2 linked regions of the Oryzias latipes genome follow. The protein of the gene in region 1 interacts with the protein of each later gene in a pairwise test. Links are inferred from orthologs where the notes say so. Each region holds a gene or a part of one and is shown in the gene's direction. Other genes may lie near its edges.

Evidence for each region.
Region 2: the proteins of rtn1 (region 1) and ugcg interact in a two-hybrid assay, tested with the Homo sapiens proteins (2 studies listed by BioGRID and IntAct). The link is inferred for Oryzias latipes from reciprocal best matches to the Homo sapiens genes RTN1 and UGCG.

The regions. Positions count from the first base shown.
Region 1 is NC_019880.2:12,165,377-12,173,245, forward strand, and holds the start of rtn1 (reticulon-1), read left to right. Parts: upstream 1-2,488; 5' UTR 2,489-2,503; coding exon 2,504-3,053; intron 3,054-7,869. Other genes in the region: leucine-rich repeat-containing protein 9, read right to left, coding at 132-272, 551-769, 1,790-1,848, 2,141-2,252. UniProt on the Homo sapiens protein: Inhibits amyloid precursor protein processing, probably by blocking BACE1 activity.
Region 2 is NC_019870.2:273,987-281,863, reverse strand, and holds the start of ugcg (ceramide glucosyltransferase), read left to right. Parts: upstream 1-3,481; 5' UTR 3,482-3,989; coding exon 3,990-4,087; intron 4,088-4,515; coding exon 4,516-4,660; intron 4,661-7,877. Other genes in the region: mocs2 (molybdopterin synthase catalytic subunit), read left to right, coding at 2,075-2,183, 2,368-2,524, 2,588-2,711, 2,786-2,887. UniProt on the Homo sapiens protein: Participates in the initial step of the glucosylceramide-based glycosphingolipid/GSL synthetic pathway at the cytosolic surface of the Golgi.

The DNA.
Region 1 (7,869 bases):
AAACAGAGTAGAAAACGGCTTTGCATGTTTCAGAAAAAAATTCAAACAAAATATGTTATTGCATCATCAATCTAACAAAAACATATAATTCTATGAGACTGACATGAAAAAATGTAATGCCAGTTTCATACCTGGATTTTAGTGATGCAGTTATTGTTGAGCCACAGAACTTCCAGGTTAACCTGCAAATCTAAGTTTTGTATTTCACATATCTGATTATTATAAAGGTACAGCTTCTCTAGTTTTTGACAGTTTTGTAGTCCAGATATTTCCTGTTGATAAGACAATGAGAAAACAATTATATGTTAAAAACAAAAAGGTTAAACTCTTCGTCTCTGGGTTTGAAACGTTATTATTTGTTTTAATCCTTATTGCTGCAGTGTTTAATCTCACATACATACTTGAACATAAACTATATTATAATCTCATAAATTAAAAGTTGTTATGTCTGACATTTTTACACAAACATATACAGTACAGACCAAAAGTTTGGACACACCTTCTCAAGGTGCAAAACCAAACTTTTGGTCTGTACTGTATGAAAACTCACTCTAAGACGACACTGGACTATCCAGATCTGCTGTAGCAGAGGGCAGTTCTCCAGTCCTTCAATGTGTTCTATGGTCTGGTCCACGATGGTAAGGTGGCAAAGTCTTGGAAAGAAGAAGAGCCCGACCATTCGGGGGAAACCAGAGAAAAAGATCTCCAGAGACGTGACGTTACTCCCCTCCTGTGCTATTTTTTCATAGGAAACGCCATTGACCAGACACTGTTGTGAGCAAAAAGATGAACAATGATTCATGATCTTGATATTTATGCATCATAAATAAATAAATAAATTTAAAAAGGGGGGTTGAAATACAGTCAAATAAAAGCAAACCTAAAACCTTTTTGCTTCCACATTCAGTTTTTTGGGAGTCTTTTTTTTTTCTCCGTTTTTCTGACAATGTGTATTTAGACTGCAGCATTTATTCATATATATTAAAGAAATTCATAAAAATGCAAAAGCAGAAATGATATATTTTAAACATGTTCATAATGAATTTTCTAAAAAAAAACGTAATTTATTTTTGAATAAAAAAAACACTATTCACTCATTTCCTATTTCATGTAACAATCACAGAAGCCAGCAGTAATATTCTATATAGGCAGAAAATTAGGGGCAATTCATATTGATATAATAGTCTAGCAATGAGCATTTTTGCACTTGCATGGAGAGTAAATATTTAAAGTTATCTATTTGTTACAATGAATTTACAAAGAACATTACAAGATAATGATATAAAATAGATTTAAATGCATTAAAAGATCGTAAAGTAAACACAAATTAAAGTAAAGCAAAGTAAACACAATAAAAAAACACATATTTAATTAACCCTACAAACCCATAGGCAATTTTCTTTCTTTTTTTTACAATGTCTTAAATTTTTTTTTGTTTTCATCAAATATTTTTTCATCTTTACATTTTATTTTTTGGCCGCTGTTAATCGCTGCTACCCAAAATGAGTAAACAAAAAGTCAAATTAACTTTAAAACTACAAGTAATAATTTTTGGTAGTTCTCCATGGTTAATTGGCTACAAACAAACAAACAAACAAACAAACAAACAAATAAATAAATGCTGAGAGAGAGAGAGCCTCCAGAATAATTCCAGAGGGAGAGTGGAATTTCCTTTACATTTACTGTACATTGTTTTCTTTTTACTTGCAATTTATGTTGCAAACATTTCTTGACTACAAAATCAAAAACTTCTGCATGGTATCACATGTTTTTCTTAGTGTTAACTTACTAGTTTTTTGACCACCTCTTCATCCCTGCAGTTCGTCTTTTTGTCACTTTTCAACATAGCTGTGCAAAAAAATAAACAAAAACAACAAATTAAGCATTACTGGTCGGTTCTGCTGAAAACAATACAAAACTAACACGTGCCCGTCAATTTAAATGTTAAAAACCAATTTTGAGTAAACGTTTATATTTGCCCCTCCCCCCAAACATGCACACCAAACAAACAGAAACCGACCAAGTTTAAGGACTGAGCATCAGTTCTACAGACTCTCTGCACTGCACATATTATATATTAAAACGTAAAATGCATTTTTGTTATCGTTTATTAATGTATGATTGAAACACAATTGGTTACCAATATCGATGGGAAGAACGCGTATCCAGGCACGAGTGTTTGGTTGCCATGGAGGAACTCCGAAACTTTTCAAGCTTTGTTTGTACGCTGAGCTACCACACGAGGGCGCCATACTGCAAGATTTGTCTGGACTGTTTTCATGGAGACACAAGACATTTGGATCTCCAGAATATTCTTTAGTACAAAAGGCAGAAAATAAATAAAGTTTTTCATTTTTTTAAGTGCTATTCAGACTGAAAAAATAGTAATATTATATGTGATTTATTCCCTAAATTCTGCTTCTGTAATTGCCTTAAACATATTTTGTTAAACATAGTTTGATATTATATAAATTGATCGTTTTATTTGGTTTTCCTTATTTTAATGAAAACTAGGGTGTGTATTTGTCCTAAAGTTGCGTTGCTGTCTAGCGGACAGGATGACGTCAGCGGTGGCTCGGTGAACTACAACATCAACCTCTCTCCTCTGGTGCTGGTTCCAAACCGCCCGCTCCGCCTCATCCCTGCCGTCCTCACAGCCCCGGCACAGCTGAGCAGAAGCCAGGCGGGAGCGTCCCCGTGTTTTCCCGGATCACCCGTTCGAGCTCGAGCGTCGCCGCCGGCTCTGCAGTACGGTCAGACGGGGGGAGGAGGAGAGGAAGCCTCAGCAGCCGCTGACTGTTCCCAGTCTGTCCGACAACAGCAACAAAGCATGTCCGCTCAGCCCGGCGAGGAGCTCCGCGAGGAGGAGAGGTGGTTCGGGGATGATTACGAGAGGAACGGCTTGTTTGGGAACACATCCACCCGCTTCGACGAGCTGCGTCACGATTTGAAGCCGAGAGGTGGTGACGCTGTGGGCGACCTGGATCAACAATTTCATCCTTTCCAGGACGACGGGAAAAGGCCTCCCGTTGCTATGGAAACTGCCTCTACAGGTAAAACTTTAACGTAAATGAGACAAATCTTACTTTTCTGCCAAACCTAATAATACTCATGGGCAAAAGCAAACACAAGGAGTGATTTTATGTCTTAAAATGGGGGCGACTGATGCTGAGGCGCAGTTTATTATAGATTACGACAGACGGCCTGCTTGTCTGCTGTTATGAGGAGTTAAAACTTCTGGAATTGAAAACAAAGATGCTATTTTTTTTTGCAACTTTCAGGTTCTGATTTGATCTACATGTGTGTTCACATGCTGATAAATCTGAAAGGACTATATGTGATTTATGATGTTAAGGCCAGTTTTCTGTTATAAATACAATAAAAGAAGCACCTGTCTGGGTAGGTCTCAATTAGTTGATGATTGTTGGATAATAGTCAAAATGTTGTTGGCCAATGAGATCTAACTCACCAATTTGACCAAAAATGCTACTTAAAATAAGGTCAGAAGGACTAAATAAAAACAGCCTTAATTCAAAAGGTCTAAGAAACTCTAATGGCTTCAAATTTGTGCTTAAAGTCCTTCCCCTTTGAAGAACAGCTTGGCTCATGCTGCTATTTTTACTCCTAAGGTCGCTTGCCTCACTATTCGTGTGTTGGGCAGAAGTGAGCCACTTTTATTCACAAGTTCACTGAAAAATTCATAAGGTTATGCTTAAAAAAAAATCATGCGGCCAAGTTTCCTCTCTTAACTGCTCAAGCGCTCTCTCATTTGGCATGCTGCTTGAATCAAATCAATAAAAAAAACACGCTTTTTATGCAGATTCTTTTTCAGGAAGTGGACTATTCCTATCAGGGAATGAAACCTCAACAGTCAGGTGTAAACAGATTAGTTAATAAAAGCTTTTGTTAAGATTAAATTATAGGATAGGAATATCCTTTAATATTTAACCTTTGTCTTTTCCACTTTTCTTGCTTGAAAATGTAAACAAAGCATTTGCTCCACTTTCATAACAGTCTGCCAGACAAGGTGTGTAGGTGCTCACAGACGGGGGACACACTCTTTGTTTTGGCTCCTGAAAGAGAACAGTGTTGCTGCAATACTGTTGCTAAGCCGTGTCCGCACAGTTGAATTAATCTCTCCTGTCACGTTTGTTCCCGCTGGAAACGCCGCAAATCCCATCTATGAGGACAGAGGGGACGTTTCTCACTTAATCAGAAATAATGTGATGCTGTTTGCTTTGATTTTCCTCAGAAAGACACAGATTGGCTCCAACACTGCACTGAAGTTCCAAAATCCTGCGTAAAGCTAATGAAATGCTGAGCTGTGTCCCTTTGAGATGTTTGGAGTTTACTGTTGTTTACAACGGTGATAAACAAACTCAGGACCTACAGGATGCTGACTCCAGAGGTATTAAATTACCACTGGACAGAACTTTATCCTGTTTCTTAGGCTGAACAACCTTTTTAATATTCACGATTTACCCTCACGTGTATGTTTACCGGAGCCATGATGAAGACAGTAGATCATGGTGTACCGGGATCAGGTCTGCTCGGCCTTGAAAGCATCAACTGTTTTGTATGTAAATTGCATGTAATTTTGCTGCTCATAGAGGAGAGGATTTCACACAGAAACATCTTCCTTTTAGTTTCTATTTTACATCTGGAGAAGCCATCTCTTACAATCCAGTAGCTAAAAGGTGGATTAAGCTCAAGTCTTTCGCTTTATCAGCTTGTCATCAGTGACGAGGGAGAGACAGCACGCTGGATTTGATCCCAGTGCAGTGCATTTCTGCCTTTAGCTGGTGAGGAGTTTTGCCTCTGTTCCCGGAGGGACAGAGGAGTGCAGGGTCTTTTCATAGATGATAAAAATGCTGGATAATTCAGGGGCAGAAGAGGAGGAGAGAGCAGCCTAATGGCTAAAGAGGCGAAGCTGCTGCCAGATGATGGTTCAAAGGTCCAGACTGTCAGGAAAACCTAAAAAAACATCAAACTTCAGTATTTATTTAAAGTTGTTGAGTGGAGGTGCTTTTATATCCATAGATGCATTTATTTCTGACCCCAGTAGAACAAGGACATAGTTAAACTGATTCTAGACAGGAGTATGAGAGGTTCTCCCTCCTGTTTATGTCTATGGCTTTGGGACAGACTGGAAGCCTGTCCAAGGATAAAGCCTACACCCTGTGACAGATGGGATGGGCTCCAGACCCCGCAACACCCATCAAAACTGGATGAAGCAGCTACGGAGAAGCGATAGAATCCCATGTGTTTACCCAGGAAGCAATAAAAAACCATTATGTGAAACATGATGCAGTGTTTGGAACTGCCCCTCTGCTCTGACTTATCATATTCCCCATGAAGAGCAGAGCTAAAACCCATCACTACTTTTAAGTGTGGACTTTTTGTACATTTTTCTCTGCAATCAGTCATTTTTTAAAGTCTCACATCTAAATAATGGTAATTACTATTTAAAAAACAAAGATTGACTGACATATTTAAAATTCTCCTCTGTTTATGTTAAAAAAAACCACAAAGGCAAGAAAAATATATTCAATACAGGAGAGAATTAGCAGAATATGTTCGGTAGCGTATTTTTCCCAATTTAATTCCCCCAGTTAAGAGGGCTGGATGCAATAGTGTGTCATGGAATAGTAATTGTACGTTCCAGTTGTCTTGGATCAATGCAGCAGAGCACCTGGATCTCTCAGCAATTCTATCGACCTGCACTTGTCTTTTTCTACTTCAGTGAAAGCAGCCTTGCCCACTATCTCCCCCATTTCCCTGTTTTCCTTTAAGTTCAACACAGGAATCTATGGATTAACAGAATCAATGTCATAAACAAGTTTTTAAATGTTGTGACATACGACAGATATTAATTAAGCTGAGCTGAAATGATAGAGAAAATACTGATCAATGTAAAAAAAAATCAATAGTTTTAGAGAGTCACACGAGTACCTAAAAATAAACTCTTTACAAATTATATAAAATGTATTTAAAGTGATAGTTTTCTATATAATTTTATTTTTCAACTAAAGAAACAGATCCTTGAGGTCAGATGCTGCAAAAAGAGACCCAAACTATTTAACAATGTCATGTTAAATTAGGACTTCTAACATTGGGGGAAAAACATATTATTTACCACCACAAACCCACTTAGCTTTAAAAGGGGAGCGCAGTGAGCATCTTGATATATTGGTTTCCACGAGGTCAGGCTTTGAAAGATAACACCTGAAAGATAAAACCGCAGCTGATAGGAACCTAGATGGAGTAATGGAGTTGTTTCCGAGCTGTTGAGTCACAGACTCTTCAAGGAAATGCTGGACTATGACTGATTGTTATTAGCCGTAAACAGTCTTCAGACTTCAAACTGAGCTCATTAGAAGGGAAAATACATGTTTTTAGAGAACTGTGTCACTGAAAAAGACTTAAAGATCAACTCAGATGAAAATTAATGGTGTTTTTAACATGTTCTTCTGGCATTTCTCACATGATGGAGGACCTATTTGTAAAAAATTAGGCTTCAAGAAAATGCTATTTGAAAAATTGCTTATTTGTTTCCTAGAAAATACACTAGGTAGGCCGTAAACTTCCTGCTCCACTCCATTCTGATGCATCCACTTGCAGACAAATAGATCCATCTACGTCTTTGTATTCCTTGTCTGAGCTGACATCTAGCTCAAAACAGTACGACTGGATATCTCTAAGATGGCTCATCATTTTTTATTGCACCAGTTTTGTTAGGTTGGGGTGGGAGAACATATAAACAGAAAGCTCTCACAACTCAGAATTTCTAATGATCTACTACTGCTCTGCAGAAACTATGTCTTAGAAAACAACACAAGTTTTTTTTTTAATTTAGGCTAAAAAAAACGACATTATCATAATTAAAAGACCACTTGGAATGCTTTTAATCAAAAGATGATCAGAGTGGGACTTTAAAAAATATGTAGTTTTTCTTCTCTTTATTAATCACTAACAAACAGCAGGTCATTTATGTTTTTCTTTTGTGACTAGAGGCCCTCCTTTATATTTTCTGCTCTTTTGTTTTCCTCAGTCGCCTGATAATTAGGAGCCCATGCCTCGGCCCAGTGCAAAGTGTCAGCCGGCATTAGTTTCAGAGCTGCTCTGGCTGCACAGAGGACAACAAAAGGACTCTACAGCACATGCACCAGGACTTATTTATCTAACTGCCCCATCCTTTCAGCAGGATGAACACACTGTGTGGATAGTGAAGCCTAGAATTCCTCTGTTGTCATGCCCAATCCCATCTGACTACAGTGGAGCATTGGTTTCAGCTTTGTGGGCTTTTGTAGCGTCTGGGCGCTATGTCACGTCAGCAGATTCAAAATGCCCTCAATCGCCGACCATTTCGTCAAAACGCAGCAGAGAGCTTGCTGTCACCGAGAAAAACTTAGGTTCTTTTTTGTTGCAGAGCCTTTGATGCCTTGAGCTTTTGTCAGGTTCAGCAGCAGTTTACCTTTAGTTTAGATGTGGGGCTAATCTGTTTTAACCTACATAACACACAGAATATGTAAAAAAAACAAAAAACATAAAAGGTCCTGACAATTCCTGCTTTTTTTAAATGTTACATCACCACTCAACCTATATCCTTGAGATGTTTGTACCCCCGCCCTGCAGTATGTGATGAATGATGCATTGTGTAGTGACTGAGGAAGCAGCAACTGAAAGGACAACAGGCGGGAAGGGTGGTGGGTCTCATTTGAGGAAGCGAAATCCGGGGAGGGACGTCCTGACCTGTAGAACCTTCTGTCAGTCAGTTTACATCCTCCAGAGCTTAACCCCTCCATCCCCATCAGCCAGCCCAGCAACTGGGTTTGGGCTATTTATAACACAAACCGCTGCTCTGGAGGA
Region 2 (7,877 bases), on another chromosome or scaffold:
CAGGAAGTGGTGCCGCGTGCGCGCGTGACGCTCGGTTCTCCGGTGCCGAGATAGCTGCAGTAACTTCATGACTGCGCAGGTGAGTGGAGGGTTTGACCCCTTGCATGCTGACGTCAGGCTTTGTGTCACACATGTGCCACACACTGCGCAGCCTTTGTGTCTGCGCATGTGTGGTTTCTGCACGTGTTTTGTGCTAGTCTGCTTTGTGTCTATGGTTGTGAGTCTTTTGTGAACTCCAGTGGATCACATGGTCTGGCCTGTGGGGCGTCACGTGGTCAGCATAGACTGTATCTGAGAACTGGACTGTGGCCCTATTGGGGGGGGGGGGGGGGGGGGACAAATCGGACCAGAATCGACTAGGATGTAGACCCCCCCCCCCACACACACACACAGTTGCCCGCCTGTAACCTTTATGCTGTGCTTCACACCTGTTTGGTGTACAGTGATCCCTCGCTATAACGCGGTTTACTTTTCACGGTTTCGCTACTTCACGGATTTGCATTGTGCATTGTCTTCTGCATTCTGATTGGCTAAAAAGTCACTCCACTTCTTCTCTACCTGTGCGTCAATAAAGTTGCAGTTTAACATGTACACGTAGGTAAAACAGCTTCCCAAATTACAACAGATACGTGCAAATTCTCTTGCAATTTCGAGTTTCTCTATCCCCCATGGAAAAAAGAGCGACACCAACTGTCAATCACTGTGTTCTTCTCCCGAACAAACACAGCTGCGCCGCGGGCTTCAAAGGGAGAAAACACTGCAGAGCGGAGTCAGGATCAGCGGCTCTAGAGCAGTGAAATACACCTGAGTCACTATTTGTCTGACCTTACTTTGTATTTTTTTTTAAATCATTTTAAATTTTCTCCCGTTTAATCCAATTACTCTCGGGTCGCGGTGGGCGGGGCTAATCTCCGCGATTTGAAGCCTGATTAGTTATTATTTGACAGTACAGTACAGAAGATATTTGTTGAAAAACCTTTTCTAAAGTACTTTTATTTGTGAAACAAATGCCTGAGCCTGTAAAACGGTTTGTTCTTTCTTTTCAATGTATAATAGACTGTTTAATAGTATAATAATTGTTAAAAAAATAAAGGTTTCTACTTCACGGATTTTGCCTTTCACGGGTTCTTTTTGGAACGTAACCCCCGCGAAAAACAAGGGTTTACTGTAAAGCGAGTTCAGAAAGGAAACACAGGCAGAAGTCAGGATCCTGACAAGGTCACTATTGGAAAGAAAACCCGCAAAAAGACGACCAAGGTCCAAACCCAAACTAAAATCCAGAACCAGCAGGAGGCTGAGGACCAAGAGAGACGAGCCACCCAGCACCGCTCCAACTCTGACCCTCCTGCTCCTCGGCCAGCAGGTACCAATCAGGAACATTGGCCCCTCCTTCCAGGTGAGCAGAAGGACGGGGTGTGAAAAAGGTGCATGCCAGCAGCAAGATGAACACAGCCAATAGGCAAACAGATGATGACATCAGTGAGGATGAGGCGGATGAAAAGCAGGAAGCGTTCCCGTAAAACATCACCACGCGTGTTTCTAGACCCGAATGTTTTCCCGTCACGTTCCACGCTGCAGTCCACGCAGCCTCACGTGTGGCACTGAGCTCATACAGGTGTTTGTGTGCAGGTGAGCGTCATCTACTTTGGTCAGAGTGCCGAGCTGACTGGGCTGAAGGGGGAGGAGCTTGTTTCTGTTCCAACGCCCATCAGCAGCAGGGAACTGTGGGAGCTGCTGCAGCAGAGACATCCCCGGTACGAAACCCAGGAAGCAGCAGAACCTGACGGCGGCTGATCGGATTCTGACCGCTGCATGTGTGTGCGTGTGTGTGTGTGTGTGTGTGTGTGTGTGCGTGTGTGTAGGCTAGCAGTGCTGCGTGGTCACGTGGTCTTGGCGGTGGCTCAACAGTACATTCCCATTGCGGAGCAGCTGGTGGTTCTGAGGGACGGAGACGAGGTGGCCGTGGTTCCTCCGCTCAGCGGCGGGTAGGCAGGTATGTGCTTCAGTCAGTCGCTGCTCTCCATCCCAGCAGAGGAGACGGGTTCTCAGACGTTCTACCGGGTCGGTTGCAGGAATGTCCCAGCAGGAGGACGCGGTCAGGCTGAGCCGGGATCCTCTGTCCGTGCAGGAGGTGGTGGATGCTGTGAGCAGCTCCTCCTGTGGAGCCGTTTCCGTCTTCGTCGGTACGGATGGACGGGACTTTTAGCCGTGTTGGGTAGCGACTCCCTGGACGGGGGGGACGGGAGTGTTTGTGTTCCACTTCTATTTTGAGTGCTAAAGTGAGGAACAGCGGTGCGGGCCGTTACAGCGTGTTGGTGGGTCCGGTTCGGTTCCTCAGAACTCAGGAGTTTCACATCATCTGTGCAGGAACGACCCGGGAGGACGAGGTGGAGGGCAGGAGGGTGGTGGGACTGCACTACGAGGCGTACGAGTCCATGGTCCAATCAGAGTTCACCAAGCTCTGTGCTGAGCTGCGGGGGTGCTGGCCCAGCGTGAAGCACATCTGCGTCCACCACCGGCTGGGGTGAGCGCTCCGCCACTCCTCTGACCGGCAAACGCCAGACTTACCTGACAGGTTCCTCTTTAGGTGGGTGAAGGTGGGCGAGGCCAGCGTCGCCATGGCAGTTTCATCTCCGCACCGCCACGACGGCCAGCAGGCCATCCAGCACTGCATCAGCCAGCTGAAGGCCCGGATGCCCATATGGAAGAAGGTAGGAGCCGGCGGCGGTGGGACGGCCGAGCCGGTGGGACGGCCGAGCCCTCACCCCCTACCTGTGCTCCACAGGAGGTCTACAACACCCAGGAGGAGAGCTGGAAGGAGAACCTGGAGTGTCCGTGGTCCAGCACCGCCCAGCTGCTGACGGATGGATGTGACAAAGAAAACTGAAGCTTGTGATCCAACTGAAGGGGGCGCCAGTTAGCTGCTACCCGCAGAGCAACTGACTTCATTTAATCATTTGTTTTTCTTCCTGAAATAATCTGTTGTAATTGTTGAAGCGTCACCGTGTTCTCAGTCTGCAGGACGTCCTGCTTCCTGAAGGAACTCAGATTGTCCATGACGACCGCGGTCTCTGGTTCCTGATCCAGTTCAGTTTCGGTTGCTCAACCCCAGCAGGTGTTATGACACACACTGACAGGTGTGGCTGTTTACCACGAAGTCTGACGCACCTGAGCAAAGCAACCAGTTTCCACCGTTGTCACGTGACTCAACACAGCTGCACCTTCAGCAGCGGGAACTTCCCTGTTCTGAGCGACAATCGGCTCATCCAAATGATCAGAACTGGATCCACAGTAAATAAAGGGTATTTTCAGCTTTGTTTTTGATTTGTTTTTCGAGGCCAAACTTTATTCAATTTAATCATGTTTGAAAATTTGGGGATTTTCAGCTTAATGGAGGAAGTCACAGAGAAGAACTTTCAGAGCAGATGAGCAGTTTGAGGTGGAAGCACATCAGGATTATCTGGGTTCTGAAGGAGCAGAATGAAGACAAGGAGGCTGAATCCATGTAGACTTACAGTTACTCAATAAAAGCACGAAGAAAACATGTAGCAGTGAAGGAAGCAGTTAGATTCCTGGGGTTCTTTGCACTAAAGCTCATCCTAAACACCTTTGTACTAACGTTTAGAGGCACTAAGGCCGCCTGGTTTCATTTATCTTAGGCTGTTGGGAGGGGCTTTTATTTTGAAAGAGTCCGGAAGTGCCAGCCAGTGATGACTTCCTGTTTGATCACCGTCTTTCCCGGTTGGTCAGCTGATCGTGGGCCGGTCTGCTGACTGTCAAACGCCCGACCTCATCGCCGCTAAACCGCGCTCCCCCAGGCCGTCTGTGGCCCCCAGAGTTCCCGCTGCCGGAGCTCGAGGTCCAACCTACTTCCGGTACCGGCCCCGCCGGATTTCTGGCTCTTTCGTGACGGACTCTACAGAACCCCCCGGTGTCCTGCCCGACCACACACGGAGCCCGAACGAGCTGTGGCGGCCGTCCGCTGCGCCATGGCCCCGCTGGAGCTGGCCATGCAGGGCCTCGCCGTGTTCGGCCTCGTGCTCTTCCTCGTGCTCTGGCTCATGCACCTGATGTCCATCATTTACGTGTGAGTGCGCGCGCGCCGCCGCTTGAAGCTGTTCGCCCGCGGGGGGCCGAGCCGCTGATGCCCGCGCCTCTCTGGCTGAGTGCCCGGTCGGTGGGTTACCGCTAACCGGTGCACGTTAGCTCAACGGGAAGGGGCTAACTGACGTAAAGCTGACTGTTCGCGCGTACGTTAGTGCGGCTTAAGCTAGCAGCGGCTTCCCGGCTAACGCAGCGGCCGCGGCGGCCTTCCGCTCCAGAGACGTTTCTGTTCATTGATATTCAGGGAAGCTGTTGGTTCCGTCTGTCTGACTGCGCGCGCACGCGGGCGGAACTACCGGTCCCGGCTGCTCTTTCTGCGCGGGGGTGGAGGCAGCAGAGCCTTGTCCGAAGAACCGGGTTTTCACATAGACAGTGACCTGTTCTGATCCGGGTTCCTGGCCTCTGTTTCAGACGCCTACACCTTCACAAGAAGAGGTCAGAGGTCAAACAGCCGTTTGCTCAGCTGGCAGGAGTTTCTCTGCTGAAGCCTCTGAAGGGGGTCGACCCGAACCTGATCTCCAACCTGGAGACCTTCTTCACTCTGGATTACCCAAAGGTGAGAGAAACCCCGCGACAGTGGTACATCCCCCATGACAGACATGACCATCATCAGAGTCAGCACCCCCGTCCTCGGCTAACACAGGTGTGTGTGGGGGTGTGTCAGACAGGTGGGAGGTCCACCTCGGCTAACACAGGTGTGTGTGTGGGGGTGTGTCAGACAGGTGGGAGGTCCTCCTCGGCTAACACAGGTGTGTGTGGGGGCGTGTCAGACAGGTGGGAGGTCCTCCTCGGCTAACACAGGTGTGTGTGGGGGCGTCTCAGACAGGTGGGAGGTCCTCCTCGGCTAACACAGGTGTGTGTGGGGGCGTGTCAGACAGGTGGGAGGTCCTCCTCGGCTAACACAGGTGTGTGTGGGGGCGTCTCAGACAGGTGGGAGGTTGTCCTCGGTTAAAACAGGTGTGTGTGGGGGAGTGTCAGACAGGTGGGAGGTTGGGCTCGTCTAACACAGTTGTGTGTGGGGGCGTGTCAGACAGGTGGGAGGTTGTCCTCGGCTAACACAGGTGTGTGTGGGGGCGTCTCAGACAGGTGGGAGGTCCTCCTCGGCTAACACAGGTGTGTGTGGGGGTGTGTCAGACAGGTGGGAGGTTGTCCTCGGCTAACACAGGTGTGTGTGGGGGCGTCTCAGACAGGTGGGAGGTCCTCCTCGGCTAACACAAGTGTGTGTGGGGGCGTCTCAGACAGGTGGGAGGTCCTCCTCGGCTAACACAGGTGTGTGTGGGGGCGTCTCAGACAGGTGGGAGGTCCTCCTCGGCTAACACAGGTGTGTGTGGGGGTGTGTCAGACAGGTGGGAGGTCCACCTCGGCTAACACAGGTGTGTGTGTTGGGGTGTGTCAGACAGGTGGGAGGTCCACCTCGGCTAACACAGGTGTGTGTGGGGGCGTCTCAGACAGGTGGGAGGTCCTCCTCGGCTAACACAGGTGTGTTTGGGGGCGTCTCAGACAGGTGGGAGGTCCTCCTCAGCTAACACAGGTGTGTGTGGGGGCGTGTCAGACAGGTGGGAGGTTGTCCTCGGCTAACACAGGTGTGTGTGGGGGCGTCTCAGACAGGTGGGAGGTCCTCCTCGGCTAACACAGGTGTGTGTGGGGGTGTGTCAGACAGGTGGGAGGTCCACCTCGGCTAACACAGGTGTGTGTGGGGGTGTGTCAGACAGGTGGGAGGTCCACCTCGGCTAACACAGGTGTGTGTGGGGGCGTCTCAGACAGGTGGGAGATCCTCCTCGGCTAATACAGGTGTGTGTGGGGGCGTGTCAGACAGGTGGGAGGTCCTCCTCGGCTAACACAGGTGTGTGTGGGGGCGTCTCAGACAAGTGGGAGGTACTCCTCAGCTAACACAGGTATGTGTGGGGGCGTGTCAGACAGGTGGGAGGTCCTCCTCGGCTAACACAGGTGTGTGTGGGGGTGTGTCAGACAGGTGGGAGGTCCACCTCGGCTAACACAGGTGTGTGTGTGGGGGCGTGTCAGACAGGTGGGAGGTCCTCCTCGGCTAACACAGGTGTGTGTGGGGGCGTGTCAGACAGGTGGGAGGTCCTCCTCGGCTAACACAGGTGTGTGTGGGGGCGTCTCAGACAGGTGGGAGGTCCTCCTCGGCTAACACAGGTGTGTGTGGGGGCGTGTCAGACAGGTGGGAGGTCCTCCTCGGCTAACACAGGTGTGTGTGGGGGCGTGTCAGACAGGTGGGAGGTCCTCCTCGGCTAACACAGGTGTGTGTGGGGGCGTCTCAGACAGGTGGGAGGTTGTCCTCGGTTAAAACAGGTGTGTGTGGGGGAGTGTCAGACAGGTGGGAGGTCGTCCTCGGCTAACACAGGTGTGTGTGGGGGCGTCTCAGACAGGTGGGAGGTTGTCCTCGGCTAACACAGGTGTGTGTGGGGGTGTGTCAGACAGGTGGGAGGTTGTCCTCGGCTAACACAGGTGTGTGTGGGGGCGTCTCAGACAGGTGGGAGGTCCTCCTCGGCTAACACAGGTGTGTGTGGGGGCGTCTCAGACAGGTGGGAGGTCCTCCTCGGCTAACACAGGTGTGTGTGGGGGCGTCTCAGACAGGTGGGAGGTCCTCCTCGGCTAACACAGGTGTGTGTGGGGGTGTGTCAGACAGGTGGGAGGTCCACCTCGGCTAACACAGGTGTGTGTGTTGGGGTGTGTCAGACAGGTGGGAGGTCCACCTCGGCTAACACAGGTGTGTGTGGGGGCGTCTCAGACAGGTGGGAGGTCCTCCTCGGCTAACACAGGTGTGTTTGGGGGCGTCTCAGACAGGTGGGAGGTCCTCCTCAGCTAACACAGGTGTGTGTGGGGGCGTGTCAGACAGGTGGGAGGTTGTCCTCGGCTAACACAGGTGTGTGTGGGGGCGTCTCAGACAGGTGGGAGGTCCTCCTCGGCTAACACAGGTGTGTGTGGGGGTGTGTCAGACAGGTGGGAGGTCCACCTCGGCTAACACAGGTGTGTGTGGGGGTGTGTCAGACAGGTGGGAGGTCCACCTCGGCTAACACAGGTGTGTGTGGGGGCGTCTCAGACAGGTGGGAGATCCTCCTCGGCTAATACAGGTGTGTGTGGGGGCGTGTCAGACAGGTGGGAGGTCCTCCTCGGCTAACACAGGTGTGTGTGGGGGCGTCTCAGACAAGTGGGAGGTACTCCTCAGCTAACACAGGTATGTGTGGGGGCGTGTCAGACAGGTGGGAGGTCCTCCTCGGCTAACACAGGTGTGTGTGGGGGTGTGTCAGACAGGTGGGAGGTCCACCTCGGCTAACACAGGTGTGTGTGTGGGGGCGTGTCAGACAGGTGGGAGGTCCTCCTCGGCTAACACAGGTGTGTGTGGGGGCGTCTCAGACAGGTGGGAGGTCCTCCTCGGCTAACACAGGTGTGTGTGGGGGCGTGTCAGACAGGTGGGAGGTCCTCCTCGGCTAACACAGGTGTGTGTGGGGGCGTGTCAGACAGGTGGGAGGTCCTCCTCGGCTAACACAGGTGTGTGTGGGGGCGTCTCAGACAGGTGGGAGGTTGTCCTCGGTTAAAACAGGTGTGTGTGGGGGAGTGTCAGACAGGTGGGAGGTCGTCCTCGGCTAACACAGGTGTGTGTGGGGGCGTCTCAGACAGGTGGGAGGTTGTCCTCGGCTAACACAGGTGTGTGTGGGGGTGTGTCAGACAGGTGGGAGGTTGTCCTCGGCTAACACAGGTGTGTGTGGGGGCGTCTCAGACAGGTGGGAGGTCCTCCTCGGCTAACACAG